Struthio camelus: one gene and its partners. Each later gene encodes a partner of the first gene's protein in a complex. Links are inferred from orthologs where the notes say so. Each region holds a gene or a part of one and is shown in the gene's direction. Other genes may lie near its edges. The genes, in order: TIMM50, TIMM17A and mitochondrial import inner membrane translocase subunit Tim23.

Evidence for each region.
Region 2: TIMM50 (region 1) and TIMM17A share a complex: the UniProt entries of both Homo sapiens proteins name them as parts of the TIM23 complex. The link is inferred for Struthio camelus from reciprocal best matches to the Homo sapiens genes TIMM50 and TIMM17A.
Region 3: TIMM50 (region 1) and mitochondrial import inner membrane translocase subunit Tim23 share a complex: the UniProt entries of both Homo sapiens proteins name them as parts of the TIM23 complex. The link is inferred for Struthio camelus from reciprocal best matches to the Homo sapiens genes TIMM50 and TIMM23.

What each region holds. Positions count from the first base shown.
Region 1 is NC_090957.1:1,563,079-1,567,888, reverse strand, and holds the start of TIMM50 (mitochondrial import inner membrane translocase subunit TIM50), read left to right. Parts: upstream 1-1,592; 5' UTR 1,593-1,705; intron 1,706-1,779; 5' UTR 1,780-1,811; intron 1,812-2,227; 5' UTR 2,228-2,249; intron 2,250-2,779; 5' UTR 2,780-2,838; intron 2,839-3,088; coding exon 3,089-3,208; intron 3,209-3,295; coding exon 3,296-3,400; intron 3,401-3,486; coding exon 3,487-3,585; intron 3,586-3,662; coding exon 3,663-3,819; intron 3,820-3,917; coding exon 3,918-4,024; intron 4,025-4,810. UniProt on the Homo sapiens protein: Essential component of the TIM23 complex, a complex that mediates the translocation of transit peptide-containing proteins across the mitochondrial inner membrane. Has some phosphatase activity in vitro; however such activity may not be relevant in vivo.
Region 2 is NC_090965.1:3,978,738-3,983,547, reverse strand, and holds the start of TIMM17A (mitochondrial import inner membrane translocase subunit Tim17-A), read left to right. Parts: upstream 1-1,328; 5' UTR 1,329-1,426; coding exon 1,427-1,452; intron 1,453-4,453; exon of another isoform or gene 4,454-4,633; intron 4,634-4,810. UniProt on the Homo sapiens protein: Essential component of the TIM23 complex, a complex that mediates the translocation of transit peptide-containing proteins across the mitochondrial inner membrane.
Region 3 is NC_090948.1:33,171,554-33,176,363, forward strand, and holds the start of mitochondrial import inner membrane translocase subunit Tim23, read left to right. Parts: upstream 1-1,283; 5' UTR 1,284-1,392; coding exon 1,393-1,486; intron 1,487-1,933; coding exon 1,934-1,992; intron 1,993-4,810. Other genes in the region: PARG (poly(ADP-ribose) glycohydrolase), read right to left, coding at 755-920. UniProt on the Homo sapiens protein: Essential component of the TIM23 complex, a complex that mediates the translocation of transit peptide-containing proteins across the mitochondrial inner membrane.

The sequences.
Region 1 (4,810 bases):
CGGGGTCAGGAGGGGGTCTGGGGGGTATTTGGGGGGTCAAGAGGAGGGAAAGAGAGGCCATGGGGCGTTTGGGGGTCTGGGGGGGTCAAGAGGGGGCCTAGGAGGTATTTGAGGGGGCTGGAGGGGTCGTGGGGGGGCAGAGGGGGTCAAGAGGGGGCCTAGGGGCATTTAGGGGGGCTGGGGGGTCCGAGGGGGGCTGGGGGGTATTTAGGGGGTCTGTAGGAGGCAGATGGGGTAAAGAGGGGCCTGGGGACATCTGAGGGGTCAAGGGGGGCCTGAGGGGTATTTAGGAGAGGGCTGAGGGGAGGCAGGTGGGGTAAAGGGGGGCCCTGGAGGTATTTAGGGGGCCTGGGGGTTATTGGGGGGGGGTCTCGGGGGGGAGGTCAAAGGGAGTCTGAGGGGAGGCCTAGGGGCATTTGGGGGGGTGGTAGGGTCAAGGAGGGGGCCTGAGGGCTGTCTTGGGGGAGCAGAGGAGGGTCAAGGGGGCCCTGGAGGCATCTGGGGGGGGTCAAGGGGGCCTGAGGGGTATCTGGGGGGGGACAGGAGCTAAAGGGGGGGCTTGGGGGCGCTTGGGGCATCTGGGGGGCAGGTAGGATCAAGAAGGAGCCTGGGGAGGGGGTAGGTAGGGTTTGGGGGGGGGGACAAAAACTTGTGCCTGGGGGACATGAGGGGCAGGTAGGGTCAAGGGGGGGCAGGTGGCTGGGGGGGGTGGCAGATTTGGGTTTGGGGGGGGGATAGTTTGGGGGATATGGGGACAAATTAGGGTCTGGAGGGAGCAGAGGCTTGGCCGGCAGATGGAGCCGTTGCCGGGGCTCCTTCAACGTCCCCAGGTGTCCCCACGGCTCCCGGGGTGTCCCCAGCCCTCGCTGGGGCTCGTGGGCCGCTCCCGGATGGCCGTGAGCGTCCCCAGATGTCCCCAGGGCTCGCCGGCTGTCCCCGGCTGTCCCCAAAGCTGTCCCCGGGGCTCCCTGGCTGTCCCCGGCCATCCCCAGGGCTCGCCGGCTGTCCCCGGCTGTCCCCAAAGCTCCCCGGCTGTCCCCGGGGCTCCTTGGGTGTCCCCAGAGCTCCTTGGCCAGCCTTGATGGTCCCTGGCTGTCCCCGGGGCTCTGGTGACGTCCCCGGGGCTCCCTGGCTGTCCCTGGCCATCCCCAGGGCTCGCCGGCTGTCCCCAAAGCTCCCCGGCTGTCCCCGGGGTTCCTTGGATGTCCCCAGAGCTCCTTGGCCAGCCTTGATGGTCCCTGGCTGTCCCCGGGGCTCCGGCGACGTCCCCAGGGGCTCGCTGGCTGTCCCCGGCCGTCCCCAGGGCTCGCCGGCTGTCCCCGGCTGTCCCCAAAGCTCCCTGGCTGTCCCCGGGGCTCCTTGGATGTCCCCAGAGCTCCTTGACCAGCCTTGATGGTCCCTGGCTGTCCCCGGGGCTCCGGTGACGTCCCCAGGGCTCGCCGGCTGTCCCCAAAGCTCCCCGGCTGTCCCCGGGGCCCCTTGGGTGTCCCCAGAGCTCCTTGGCCAGCCTTGATGGTCCCTGGCTGTCCCCGGGGCTCCGGCGACGTCCCCGACCCTCCCCGGCAGGCGGCGGCGGGGGGCACCCCGGGCCCCGACGAGGGGCAGGAGCGGAAGCGGGAGACGGCGGCCAACACGCGGCGGCTGCTGCTGCGCCTGGCCGGGCTGCTGGGCGCCGGCGCCGGCGCCACCGTCCTCTACGTCTTCGGTGAGTCCCCGGGCGGGCGCCGTCCCCGTCCCCGTCGCCGTCCCGCTCACTGCCCCGCTCTCCCCTCCCCGCAGGCAGCAACGCGGTGGACGAGCACGGCGCCAAGGTAATTACCCCCTTCTTCGTTAGCACCCGGCGGCTCCCCCCCCCCCCCACCACCACCGCTTTCTCCAGCGTCACCTTTCCCCCCCACCCCGGCGCTTCCGGACGGGGCGTTTCGGCCGGAAAAAGTCCCGTTTCGGAGGTGTCGGAGGGGTTTTGATATGCGGACCCCCCCCCCCCCCCCGGCGCGCCATCCCCGGCCGAGGTGCCAATTGCCCCCCGCCGCCGCCGGGACATCAAACGAGCCGCGGCGGAAACGAAGGCGCCAAATCGCCGCCGTGCCGGAGCCCCCCGCGGGCGCCCGAACGCCGCCAGGCCGCTGGGGTGGCGTGGGAAGAGGTTGGGGGGGGGGGGCGCTACCCTTTTATTCCCCCCCACCCTTTTTTTTTTTTTTTTATCTTCCCCCCCACCTCCCCGCAGATCCCCGACGAGTTCGACGCCGGTGAGTCCTCGCGCTCGCGTGAACCCCAGGAGGGCTCAGCGCGGGGCGGCCGGGCTTGAGCGGGAGAAAATTCGGGGTCCGGGTGCCGCCCGCGGCGTTCCCGACGCCGGGGGGGAGGGGGGGCCAAACGGAGCCTTTTCGGCCCCGTTTTAACGCTCGCGCTGCCCCCCCCCCCCCCCAAAGCGGCTTTTTTTGGTAACCGCTTTGGAGGTTCCCGGAGGGGAGCAACGCGCTGGGCGGGAGGGGAAAGGGAAGCGGGGGCAGAAGGAAATTCCCCGCCATGAAGGTGCGATTCCCCCCCGCTGGGGGGGTAAAACGGAGAAAAACGAGGTGTTTTAGGCCCCAAAAGGGTTGGTTTTTTATTTACAATGCAAACGCAGAGGGGAAGCTGGTGGGGGGGGGGTCTTGCATTAGGAGGAGGCTTGCAGGGGGGGTTAAACGCCACCATGGTGGTGGGAAGAGGGGGGGGGGTCTCGGGGACGACCCCCCTCCCCGCACCTCGGGGACCCGTCCTCACGGCCGCTTCGCAGACCCCGTGCTGATCCAGCAGATCCGCAGGACCTACAAGTACTTCAAGGACTACCGGCAGGTAGGGCACGGGGACGTCCCCGGCGCGGGGGCTCGTCCCCGTGCCGAGGGGTCTGTGTCCCCCCCACCCACGCCCCGGCGGGGTTCGTCCCCGCGACGGGGGTCTTTGTCCCCGCGACGGGGGTCTTTGTCCCCGCGACGGGTTGTCTTTGTCCCCGCCATAAGGGACCTTGCAACGAGGGGTTTGTCCCCACCGGGGCAGCTCCGTCCCCGCGGCCGGGGACGGTCCCCTCACCCCGCGCGTCCCGCAGATGATCATCGAGCCCACCAGCCCCAAGCTGCTGCCGGACCCGCTGCGCGAGCCCTACTACCAGCCGCCCTACACCCTCGTCATCGAGCTCACCGACGTGCTGCTGCACCCCGAGTGGTCGGTGAGTCCCCGCCGGTGGCCGTCCCCCTGCGCCCGGCCCGGCCCGGGGGACGCCCGGCCGGTCCCTTACCCCGCTCCTCGTCCCCAGCTCGTCACCGGTTGGCGCTTCAAGAAGCGTCCGGGCATCGAGAGCCTCTTCCAGCAGCTGGCCCCGCTCTACGAGATCGTCGTCTTCACCTCGGAGACCGGCATGGTGAGGGGGACGGCGGTGGCGGCGGCCCCGGGGTGGGGGGACACACAACGCGGCCGCCCCGCTGACCCCCTCCTCGCCTCCCCCAGACCGCCTTCCCCCTCATCGACAGCGTCGACCCGCACGGCTTCGTCTCCTACCGCCTCTTCCGCGACGCCACCCGCTACATGGACGGGCACCACGTGAAGGTAGCGGGCGCGCGGGGCCGGCGGCGGCGGGCCGACGCGCCGGCCCCGCGCCCACCCCTCTTCTTCCTCGCCGCCAGGACATCTCCTGCCTCAACAGAGACCCCGCCAAGGTGGTGGTGGTGGACTGCCGCAAGGAGGCCTTCTGCCTGCAGCCCTACAACGGGCTGGCGCTGGCCCGCTGGGACGGCAACTCCGAGGACCGCACCCTCTACGACCTCGCCGCCTTCCTCAAGAGTAAGACGGCGGGGTCGGGGGGCCGCGCGCGGGACCCCCCCGTCCGGAGCCCGGGGGCCACCCGCTCTCGCCCGCCTGACGCCCGCGCGTCCCCGCAGCCATCGCCCTCAGCGGCGTCGAGGACGTCCGCACCGTGCTGGAGAATTACTCCCTGGAGGACGACCCGCTGGCGGCCTTCAAGCGGCGTCAGTCGCAGCTGGAGCAGGTAGGGACGGGGTCGCCGGCGTCCCGCCGTCGACTGCGTCTCGGTGTCCCCCCGCTGCCGTTATCCCTGTCTCGGTGTCCCACCGCCAACCGCGTCTCGGTGTCTCCCCGCTGCCATTATCCCTGTCTCGGTGTCCCACCGCCACCGCTGACCGCGTCTCGGTGTCCCCCGCTGCCATTATCCCTGTCTCGGTGTCCCACCGCCGACCGAGTCTTGGTGTCTCCCCGCTGCCATTATCCCTGTCTCGGTGTCCCACCGCCGACTGCGTCTCGGTGTCCCCTGCTGCCGTTATCCCTGTCTCGGTGTCCCACCGCCGTCGCCGACCGCGTCTCGGTGTCCCCCGCTGCCGTTATCCCTGTCTCGGTGTCCCACTGCTGCCGTCAGCCGCGTCCCGGCGTCCCACCACCGTCATTACCTGCGTCCCAGCATCCCGTCACCGTTATCCACGTCCCGGTGTCCCGTCACTGTTAACTGCGTCCCAGTGTCCCACCACCGTCATTACCTGTGTCCCAGCATCCCGTCACCGTTATCCACGTCCCGGTGTCCCACCACCATTGTTACCTGCGTCCCAGCATCCCGTCACCGTTATCCACGTCCCGGTGTCCCGTCACTGTTAACCGCGTCCCAGTGTCCCACCACCGTCGTTACCTGCGTCCTGGTGTCGCACTGCCGTTGTTGCCTGCGTCCCAGCATCCCGTCACCATTAACCGCGTCCCGGTGTCCCGGCTGCCTGTTAACCGCGTCCGGGTGTCCCGCCGCTGTCGCCGTTAACCGCGTCCCGGTGTC
Region 2 (4,810 bases), on another chromosome or scaffold:
AAGCAGAAGTCACAATACCACCTTCTGGTAATCTCCATTACTGCATCACCATGCTCTTTCACCCGCTGCTCCCATCCTGCCTTAAATAAGGACAAACATGCAATTGCTTCTTTCAGATCACGAAGAAACCTTTACATTTACAAGGACTCTTTAAAAGCCTCCAGACCCAGCAAATTAAAGCAGGAGGAGCATTTCCGTTCCTTTTCATTGCTTCAGCCCATGATTTATTTGGGCAATTAAGTGCCTTGTTGGTGCTCAGACGCTGCAGCACACCACAATCTCCATTGCGTGTTGTGACTGAACAATTTCTTGTCCCGACAAAAGAGCAGCGGGCAAGGTTAAATTAGGACTGTGAAAAGAACGAGTGATTTACAACTTAGAGCGCTTGCAAGCATTTGTGGGGGGAAAGGCTTTGGGGGACTTCACAGGCTGCCAGCACGGAGACTTCTTTTGGCTCCCTGGAGAAACTGCCCTCTCCAAGTCGCTGTCTCTTGATGGAGCTGTTAGGGCCAAATTCCCTGCTTGCCCACACTGCCCAGTCACAGGACCATCCCCAGGGACGCCTTGAGGTCACCCCGGGTGATTCCCCAGCTCCAAGAGCGCTGCAGGAGACACCTGACCATCTCCGAGCGTCTCGGCAGCTCTTGCGCGGAGAGGACGCGTCGCCCTGCGCCGCGGGGCCTGCCCCTGGCCGCACGCGCGCGCCCCCTCCGCGCAGCGGGGCACCGTGGGAGGTGGGCCGGGATGCCAACAGGCAGCCAAAAAGCTCTCTGCGCACGTTCACGCTGTCGTTTCCAGGGTGTCCTCGGCGGTTCCCGGTGGGACGCGCTCCCGGACTGCTCGGCTGCCTGTCCGCGGCCTGGCCTGAACCCACAGAACGCAGCAAAGCGCTTGGTAACGCTTTTAAATGCAGACACATCCCGGCCCGGGCACTGTTATTTATTAGAGGATGTTAAGGGCTAAGTAACAGCAGTTTTGTGATCCCTGCCTCGGGCAGGGTAACTCGACCTGGCCCTCGCCCCGGCAGCGCTTTTACCTGCCTTTTTTTTTTTTTAATGTGCCTGAGTTTTTTATTTTTTTTGCCCGCGCAGGGCACGCCAGCGAGGGCAGCGCCCACAGAAACGCTCTCTCCCCTCCCCGAGGGGCGGACAGCCCCTGCGGCGCCCTCAGCCGGGGGGCAGCGTCGAGACCACGGCGGCGGGGCCGACGGCCTCCCCCGAGTCCGGCGGCGGCGGCGGCCGCACGGGAGCGCCCTGAGGCGCGACGGGCAGTGGCCGGGGGGGGGGGGGAAGACGGAGTGCGCACGCGCAGTCACCGCCCCGCGCTGCGCGTCCTTCCCGCCGAGCTCCCGCCCTCCGCCCCCATTGGCCGGCGTCGGGGGGCGGCCAGCCAATGGCGCGGCGGGAGGGCGGTGGAGCGTGCCAAGATGGAGGAGTACGCGCGCGAGCCGTGGTGAGCGGCGGCCGGAGAGGGGGGTGGGATGAGGAGGGGGGAGAGCGTGCGGCGACCGTTGGTTTTGGCGGGCTCCGGGGGCGCGCGCGGCGCGGGGTGGGGGGAGGGGCGGCCGCTGCCTGCGCCCTCCTGTGCGCGGCGGCGGCGGCGGGTGACCTTGGCGGTGCCGCGGCCATGGCGGCCGCCGCCGCGGGACCCGCCTTCCCCCGCCTCAGGCTCGGCGGGGGCGGGGGCCGCTGCCGGTTCGCGGCCCCGGGCTGGCGGGGGGAAGCTGTCGTAGGGCCCCGCCGGCCGGTGCCCGGGCCTGGCAGGAAGGAGCCGAGCAGGGCCTGCCTGCGGCTGGGCTGCCAGCCCGGCCCTGGGGCCCTGCCGCTGTACCGGCGTGGGGCCGTCGGGCCCGCTGCCTCATTCGTTTCTAAACATACATGTGAATATACATACACACACGCTCCACGTGTAGCAGGGTCCTTTTCACGGAGCCCTTTGAAGGGCCCCCTCAGGGGCAGGGAGGTGCTCTGCGCTGCTGCAACCCTCGCTTTTCTGTTAAGCACGAATATATGGACGTGAACCCGGGCAAAAATTTGTCCGCGTGGCTCCACAGGTGTCTTTGCTAGTGAATTTGGCAGCCTTTAAAACCGATCGCCTTTCAGCAGGCTCTTTGTAAGCATTCGCAGCTGTGTTTATAACCATTTAAAGGTTTTTAGGTGTGGTAATAAAACGTTTAAAGGCAGGCTTGGGTTCAGGAGTAAGTATGTGGAGGTCTGCCCTTCTCCACCAATACTTGTTCGAGACTTTTCTCAAAGCTTTGGAAAATGCTCTATTGCCCTGTTTTGAGTTTCTTCATAAACCTCAACTGTGCTTTTCTCGAGTCTACAGCACCAGGTCTCGGATAGTAGTAAGTTGTTTGTTTTTTTACTATGAGCTACAGATAATCGTGTTTTCCAGTGAGATCACGTGACGGTGACCTTTTGCCGCTGAGCTGTGGAGCGGTTATCTGGGGCCACAGTTTGCGTTTTGACCTGCTTGCTGCTGCTCGCTCCCTGTCCCCCCCCACCCCCAGAGCTGCTGTTTTGGTGACGGCCCCCGCCCTGGGATGTGACCTGCTTGGATGCTGCTGCTGTCGGACTTGGCCGTAGTCGGCGTCTCGGTCACCTTCCTTGGCGTGGGTCTTTGCGCGGTCACGACGGCCTCAGGCCTGCGCGGTGTGAAGTTACGCCGTGCCCCTCAGCGAGGGTCCTGGCGCACGCCGCCTCAGAGGTGCGGAGTCGGAGCTGGCTTTTCTCACTGCTGGCACTGCTCATCGGATGCACTCTTCCCTCTACTGCCGTGGTCTGCTCTTTGCTCTCCTTTCAGGCAGGCATAGATTTTTTTTTTCCGGAAAGTTTTGCTATGCTATCGCTGCCGTTCACTCTGGCTACGTTACCGAGGTGTATGCTATCCTCGGCGTGTCCGTGTCCGTGCTGGCTGATAACGCGTGCTTGAGCTGGTGTGTAGCTGTTCCCGGGCTCAGTGGCAGAAGCGAAGCTCTGGACTTGGCGAGTGCGTTACCCCGAGCCCTCTGGGTCATGAAACCGTTCACGGGCGCTCTCGGTTGCCATCAGGAGCGCTGGGATTACTGCAGGAACCTTGCCTGCAGCTGAGAGCACGTCGTTTTTCTGTTGTGAGTGCTCTCCATAAAATCAGTGAAGCAATAGGAACGTAAAGCTTCTGTATAAGTGCCAAATAAATAGCAGAATCATCTATTTTATTCTATTGTGATAACTTACGTCAGGTATTGCTGGTGATGGTGGAGGTTTTGTATCAGTTTTCAGATACGTATAGCATCTCTCCAGGAGTTCAAAAGGAACTTAGGTATGAAGTAGTTGTGGTGGCATCAAAGAGATTTCCTTATTTGGAGGATAGTTTAAAAGCAAAATTAAGGACCCCACTGAGTTTTACATCTGAAGCAGAGTTAAGATGGAAAAAAAAAAATCTAAGAAAGCGTTTTGTGATTGGGGTCTAATTAATGACGCTTCTGTGAAGAAGTCACATTTTGCTAAATTGAAATTCTTTGACCTTGTGGATAAATGGAAGATGGCTTGGCGTAATCTGTTTATATTTTCAGAAAGCCTTTTAACAAGATCGTCCATAATACAGGAAGGGAGTTGCGATGAGATGTTTTATTCGTAATAGAGTGCATCAAAATCTGGATAGGAAACGTGGAGAAGAACAGACACCCCCCCCCGCCACGAAGAGAACAACACAGCAGCTATTCTTCCTGGCATTGCTGACAAAAACGTGCCTGAAAAGTTCATTAACTTTAATGTGTATAACATAGGAGACTTTTTGGAAAGACAATAAAACATGAAATGGAGCTTTTTTTTTTTTTAATTCAGTCAAAACCAGGGGGAATTTGTAAGGAAATGGAGATGAAAGCATATTACAAGTAGAGCAGTAAAAATACCCTACCTGTAAAAAACGTACCCTACCTGTAAAAAAATGCCATGGTGGGAAAATTTTAAATCTTTTCACTGTTGACTGGTTTCTAAATCAGATATGAGCTTGGGAGGAGGATGTAGCTGTCTTTGTGGAAGATCAGTGATGACATTTGGGTGGGGTGCTGCTGCATTCGGAACAGCAAAGTCAAGTCAGGATGCGGAAAGTAAAGCAATGAAATAATGTCACGTGTCCAAACAAGCGATTTATCTTTATTTAGAAGGTGTGCAGAACTGGTTAGGCCATCCCATTAAAGTGCTTGTAGTGTTAGAGAGATTCAGAAATAGGTCGTGAAAATAAGTAAAGAGCCTGGGAGAATGTTTAGGTGGAGAGACTGACAATTTTGGAAGTTTTGGCAGGAAGAAAAAAAGAACCATGACAAAATCATGCAGTATAACAAGTGGTCCGGGGAAAGGAGATGATGTTGTCCCCCCTTCCAGGGGAAGAGCATTAACATATTCTGTGAAGTAGAAAAGTGGCGGATTCTGAACTGGTGAATGAGGATGTGATCTCACCTGCAGGAGTGTATAATGACAGTGGAGCTGGAGGCTGTAAGAAACAGAAGCGTTAAATTCAAAGTGAGATTGGAAAAAGACATCAGTATTCACGTCTGTGGTTGTTCTGATTGCAAGAGAACAACGTGAACGTCGAGCTTGCCCTGCTAGTCAATTTTGTGAACACACGTGGTATTGCAGCCTGGTTTCTGGTAGGTTTGCTAGTTATTGCTAGTGCAGGAGTTGTATTCTTCTGAGTGGTTGGCCTTTTACTAGTAAATATTTTGATGCAAGATGAAAGAGCCAAAATAACTTTTGTTAGTGCACCTGCTTTGAACTTCTCAGCAGTGGCAGCAGAGGTAATTGCTGGTTAGTGCTCACCTAGTTTT
Region 3 (4,810 bases), on another chromosome or scaffold:
GAGCTCACCCCACCGCCACAGCGTGGCATAACACTATGCTCAACAACGTAATTTCTGTCACAGCAAGTATTCGTCCTCACACACACTAACCGCCAAAAATACTACCTTGTGGTAGTTCACGCACCACGTGGATGATTATGCTGTTACTGGAAGTTTGCAGACAACCAGGCAGGTACACACAGCACTCTACACTCAAAGCTTTCTCCAAAACGAAGCAGCATGGACTGCTAGACACAGTAGGGCTCTGATACGCAGCCACGCACTGGCTTCCGGGAGCTAAATTAGGGTCCCATCTCAGCCCTGCCCTCGAAGCCAGGCTCGGGGGAGGCTACGCACATCAGTGCAAGCAGCCTCTTGCGACGTAACGTCGCCCTCCCTTCAATCCTTCACGGAAATAAAAGTACTGCAAAGATAATAACGACTACAGAAGAAACGGATATATATCCCAGGCAGGCAAAGGGGCCCTTCCCAGCCTCGCCACCCCGCCGCAAGCGCGGCCGCGGCTTTTTCGGGCCTAAAAGTCCAAAACAGAGGAAAGACGGGGTGCGGGGCAGGAGCCGAGGAGGCCGGCGGCGCGGCTCGCACGAAGCTCAGGGCCGCGCAGGCCCCACGCGCGGACCGGCCCCTCCTGCGGGCGCCCCACGCCCCCCCCCCCCAGATCAGTGAAAACGAGGGAGTCAAGAAGTAAACGGGTCGATCCGTTTTCACCGCCCAGCTCCCGCAGCCCGCCCGGCTGCTCAGGGCCGCTACAAACCTTTGTTCCCCACGGCGGTGGCGGGGCTGCCGCTGCCGCCGCCGCCGCCGGGCCCGGCCTGCCGGGGGGGCGCGGGCGGCGGGCACGGCGGCTGCTGCGGGCCGCCGGGGCCGGGGCCGAGCCGGGCTCTCTTGCGGGGGGGGTCCGGCCCGCAGCCCGCGCTCATCCTCGGCGGGCGCGGGCCCGCCTGCGCCCCCGCCCCCGCCCGCCTCAGCCGCGCGGCGCCGCCAACGGCCGCCGGGGCCGGACGGCGGCCGCCCCCCGCGGGCGGCGCGACGATGCGGCAGCGGCGCCTCTGCCCCTCCGCATCCTCCGGCCCGCGGCGCGGCGCGGCGCGGCTTAGTTTAGCTTAGCTCAGCGCGGGGCTCGCCCCGCCGCCCGCCCTCTCACGGGGAGGCGGCCAGGGCGCGGCGGGGCCGAGGCCGGCGAGGGGCGCAAGGAGCCGCCGCTGCCGCCACCCGCTGCAAAATGGCCGCCCGCCCGCCCGCCTCTCCCCTCTCACCATGGCAACCGCGCTCCGCCCGCCGCCGCCACCGCCGCCGCACGCGGGCGCCGGAAAGCAGCGCGGCGCGGGCGGCGCTTTACGGCGGCGCCGAGGTCGTTGGTGCGGGCGGTTGGCGGCGGGGCCCGGCGGCGCCATGGAGGGCGGCGGCAACTCCAAGGGCACGGGCCTCGGCGGCCTCTTCGGCGCCGGCGGGGGCTACTCCCACGCGGACCTGGCCGGGGTGCCGCGTGAGTACCGGCGCGGGGGGAAGATCTCGCCGCACCCGGAAACCAACATGGCGCGGGGGCCGGAGGGGAGCGGAGCGGCCGCGGAGCTGCGGGCCGCCAGTGGGCCCGGTCTCCCGCTTCGCGTACGGGGCCGGGGGGGGGGGGGGCCGCGCTCGCCTCGGCTTCCCGCGTGTGGGTTGGGGCGGCGATCACGCGTTTCTTTACAGCCAGTCCCTTAACGATGACTCCGTGTCGCCTAGCGCCGTGACGGAAACGTGGCGCGTACCCTGTGCATACCGGTCCGTAGCGCTTCTTATAAATAGGTGCTTCTCAGTACTGTTTCTCTCTTGTTGCTTACGTTACGGCAACATCCTCATTGCCTCCGCTCACTAGCTCTGCCCTTTTTACGTCGCTGGACTTGAAATTATCAGAGGAAGTGGTGTCAAAGTGTTCCTTCTTTTCTTTCAGTAACTGGAATGAATCCTTTGTCTCCATATTTAAATTTGGACCCTCGCTATCTAGTACAGGTGAGAAGAATAGTTGTTTTTTATTGTATTGAACTTAATTCCACTCTTGATATGGTATGTACAAAGACCTCCAAATTCATGCAGTGCTATATAGCTATATAGTGATTAACTCTTAAACAGTTGAAAGGGGATGAATGATTGTTATTACTGTTCTTAATAAAATCTTGCAGTGGCATAGTGTCTAGGACAAGAAAATCAGTTTCGATATAGAGGGTAAATGAGGCTGCTCTGTCAGCATAATAGTCTGCTGCTCCTGAAAAGAGGAGGTGTTGCTCACTTATGTTTTTCCTTCTGCCTCCCTGCTCTCGGGCATGTGGCTGCATCACTGCCCCTGCCCCACTTCTGGCACTTATCAGACCCTCCACTGAGCCCATTCAACACATAAAAGTAGCCAGAAACTATCTACCTTTTTGATGGAATGTTTTTCTGTACTGTCGTGAGTTGGATGGTTCACAAAGTGGCTGATACAAACCGTGTAACAGGCATGTGCTGTCTCTACAGCAGCAGCGAATTCTGTCCATTTCCCCCATCTCATTTCTCAGCTGAAGTGAGACTGTTAGGAGGTAAAGCTTTCAGTTTTGATCTGCAGAATAACATACTTATTGTACTTCACAGCATAGCATTTAGTTAACATAACGTGATGGCCCATAGAGCCCTGGAACTGGTTGCCCAGAGAGGTTGTGGAGCCTCCTTCCTTGGAGGTACTCAAAAGCTATTTGGACACAATCCTGGGCAATGTGCTCTAGGTGACCCTGCTTGAACAGGGGGGTTGGACTAGATGATCTCCAGAGATCACTGCCAACTTCAACTATTCTGTAATAGGCGGTCATAAGGAAAGTGAGATTGTTAAAGACCTTATGTTTTCTTTTTTTTTTTTTTCAGTTATATTAAGCATAGCCAAAAAGGTTTAAGTTAATTCAATAAGAAAGCATGTCTTAATGATTCATTTAATTATGTGGCTTGTTTTTATCTGTGAACATTAAATTTTGCTGGAGTAGCACTGAAGGTAATCAGTTGTATAGTTTCTGCTAATCTGTGCCTTTTGTTTCATGATGCACTGCATCACCACTTCTTCTGCAAGTAAAAGACTCTGAATGCAGCTGAGGGAACTGTTTTTTCTATTTCTTCTTCACTAGAAGCTGTTGTGGTCAAGATTACAACATAAAATTCCTCTAAAGGCAGTAAACAAAGGATATGTCCCTGTCTGAGGTGAATTCACTAGTGCACTTGTCTCACCTGCTGTTGTTTAATAGCGAGGAAAAAAGGGCTAGTGATTATATAGATAGATCTCTTCCCAAAATGCCACCTGACATTGTCTCATTTAGCTAGTACAGTGTATCCGGGAACACAGTATTACAAAAATAGTATGAGATGAGAGTTTTTGGAGCAAAGTTTATGTATACTAATAGATCTAAAAATAAAAAAACTTACTTTAAAAGAAAGGAAGTTTAGTGTTGATGTCATGAGTAACTTACAAAACAGATCTAAAAATACCTGTTGCTGTAACACTATAGGTTAACAGAACAGTACGTGTTGTAACACTTGACTGCTCTTGCCATTTATCACTAGGAAGCGCACTGAAATAAAAGGAAATTCCATTTAAAGACTTAAAAAAAAATTACTGTAAGGGTGGTCAAACACTGGACCAAGGGTCCCAGATTCTCCATCTTTGGAGATACTCAAAACCTGACTGGATGTGGCACTGAGCAATCTCTACAGGTGACCCTGCTTTGAGCAGATGATCTGCAGAGGTCCCTTCCCACCTCAATTCTGTTATTCTAAAAATTAATGGAGAAATACTTGCCTAAGATTTTAAAATACGAGAACCTCAATTTTTAGCCCTTGAACTTGCTTTGTGTCTTAAAGTATGTGTGGAGGTGGGGAGTCCCTTGTTTTTAAAAGCAGAACATCCATTTACTTCCAGAATGCTGAGTGCACACTCCTGCCTAGAAAAGTCAGCCTTACTGTTTACAGTCTTACATTTTTTGATCCTGGTTTTTGCTTTTCCATTATAATGGGTGCTACAATGGTGCTCATAAGTTTAAAGTCCTCTTTCTTTTTTCCTTCTCTTAATGCAGGCACAAACCAATATGTTTTCTGCAATGCTTTTATCTTCACCAGGTATCCATTATAAAATACCATACCAGGCTTAGCCATAAAGCTGGAGGGTAGGCTTCCTAGGTGGTTGTCCCTACAGAAGGGTAGAGATTACATGCAGGTGGCAATTGCTTAACTTGACTTTTTGCAGAGTAGTGGAAACTAGTAATAAATTGCTAAGTAATCACACTCAGTTTCACACTCCAAATATCTGGCTACAGGGAACCATATTACAGGTTCAGTTTATTGATAGGGTATTCAGAAATTTAGAAGCCCTATATATTATCTACATTGCCAACCACCTGAAATAATTGCTACTGTGGCTGATATAAGTACCAGGTATGGACTAAGAAAACAGCTTAGAATGCAGTTACTTGAGACTGTGGTTGTACTAGTGATGTACTATTACATAGTGGATAAACTATTAACATGACTGGAAAGTGCAGAAGCATAAAGAGAGACCTTACTACTTCGGCACCGTATCAGCATATGTGCATCTCAGCAGTGTCCAATACTGCAGAAGTGCTTTGGTTGACCTTATCTCTACACACGTGCTAGTTATCGCATGGTTGCTCTTGGTATTCATCTTTTTAGACAAATCTGTAATACGAGAACACAAGTCTATTCCTGTGGAAGAAGAACACACAAATAAAACCAAACTACCAACTACATATTTTTTAGTTCTGACCACCACTAGTTTTGAATGTATTCCTTAGTTTCT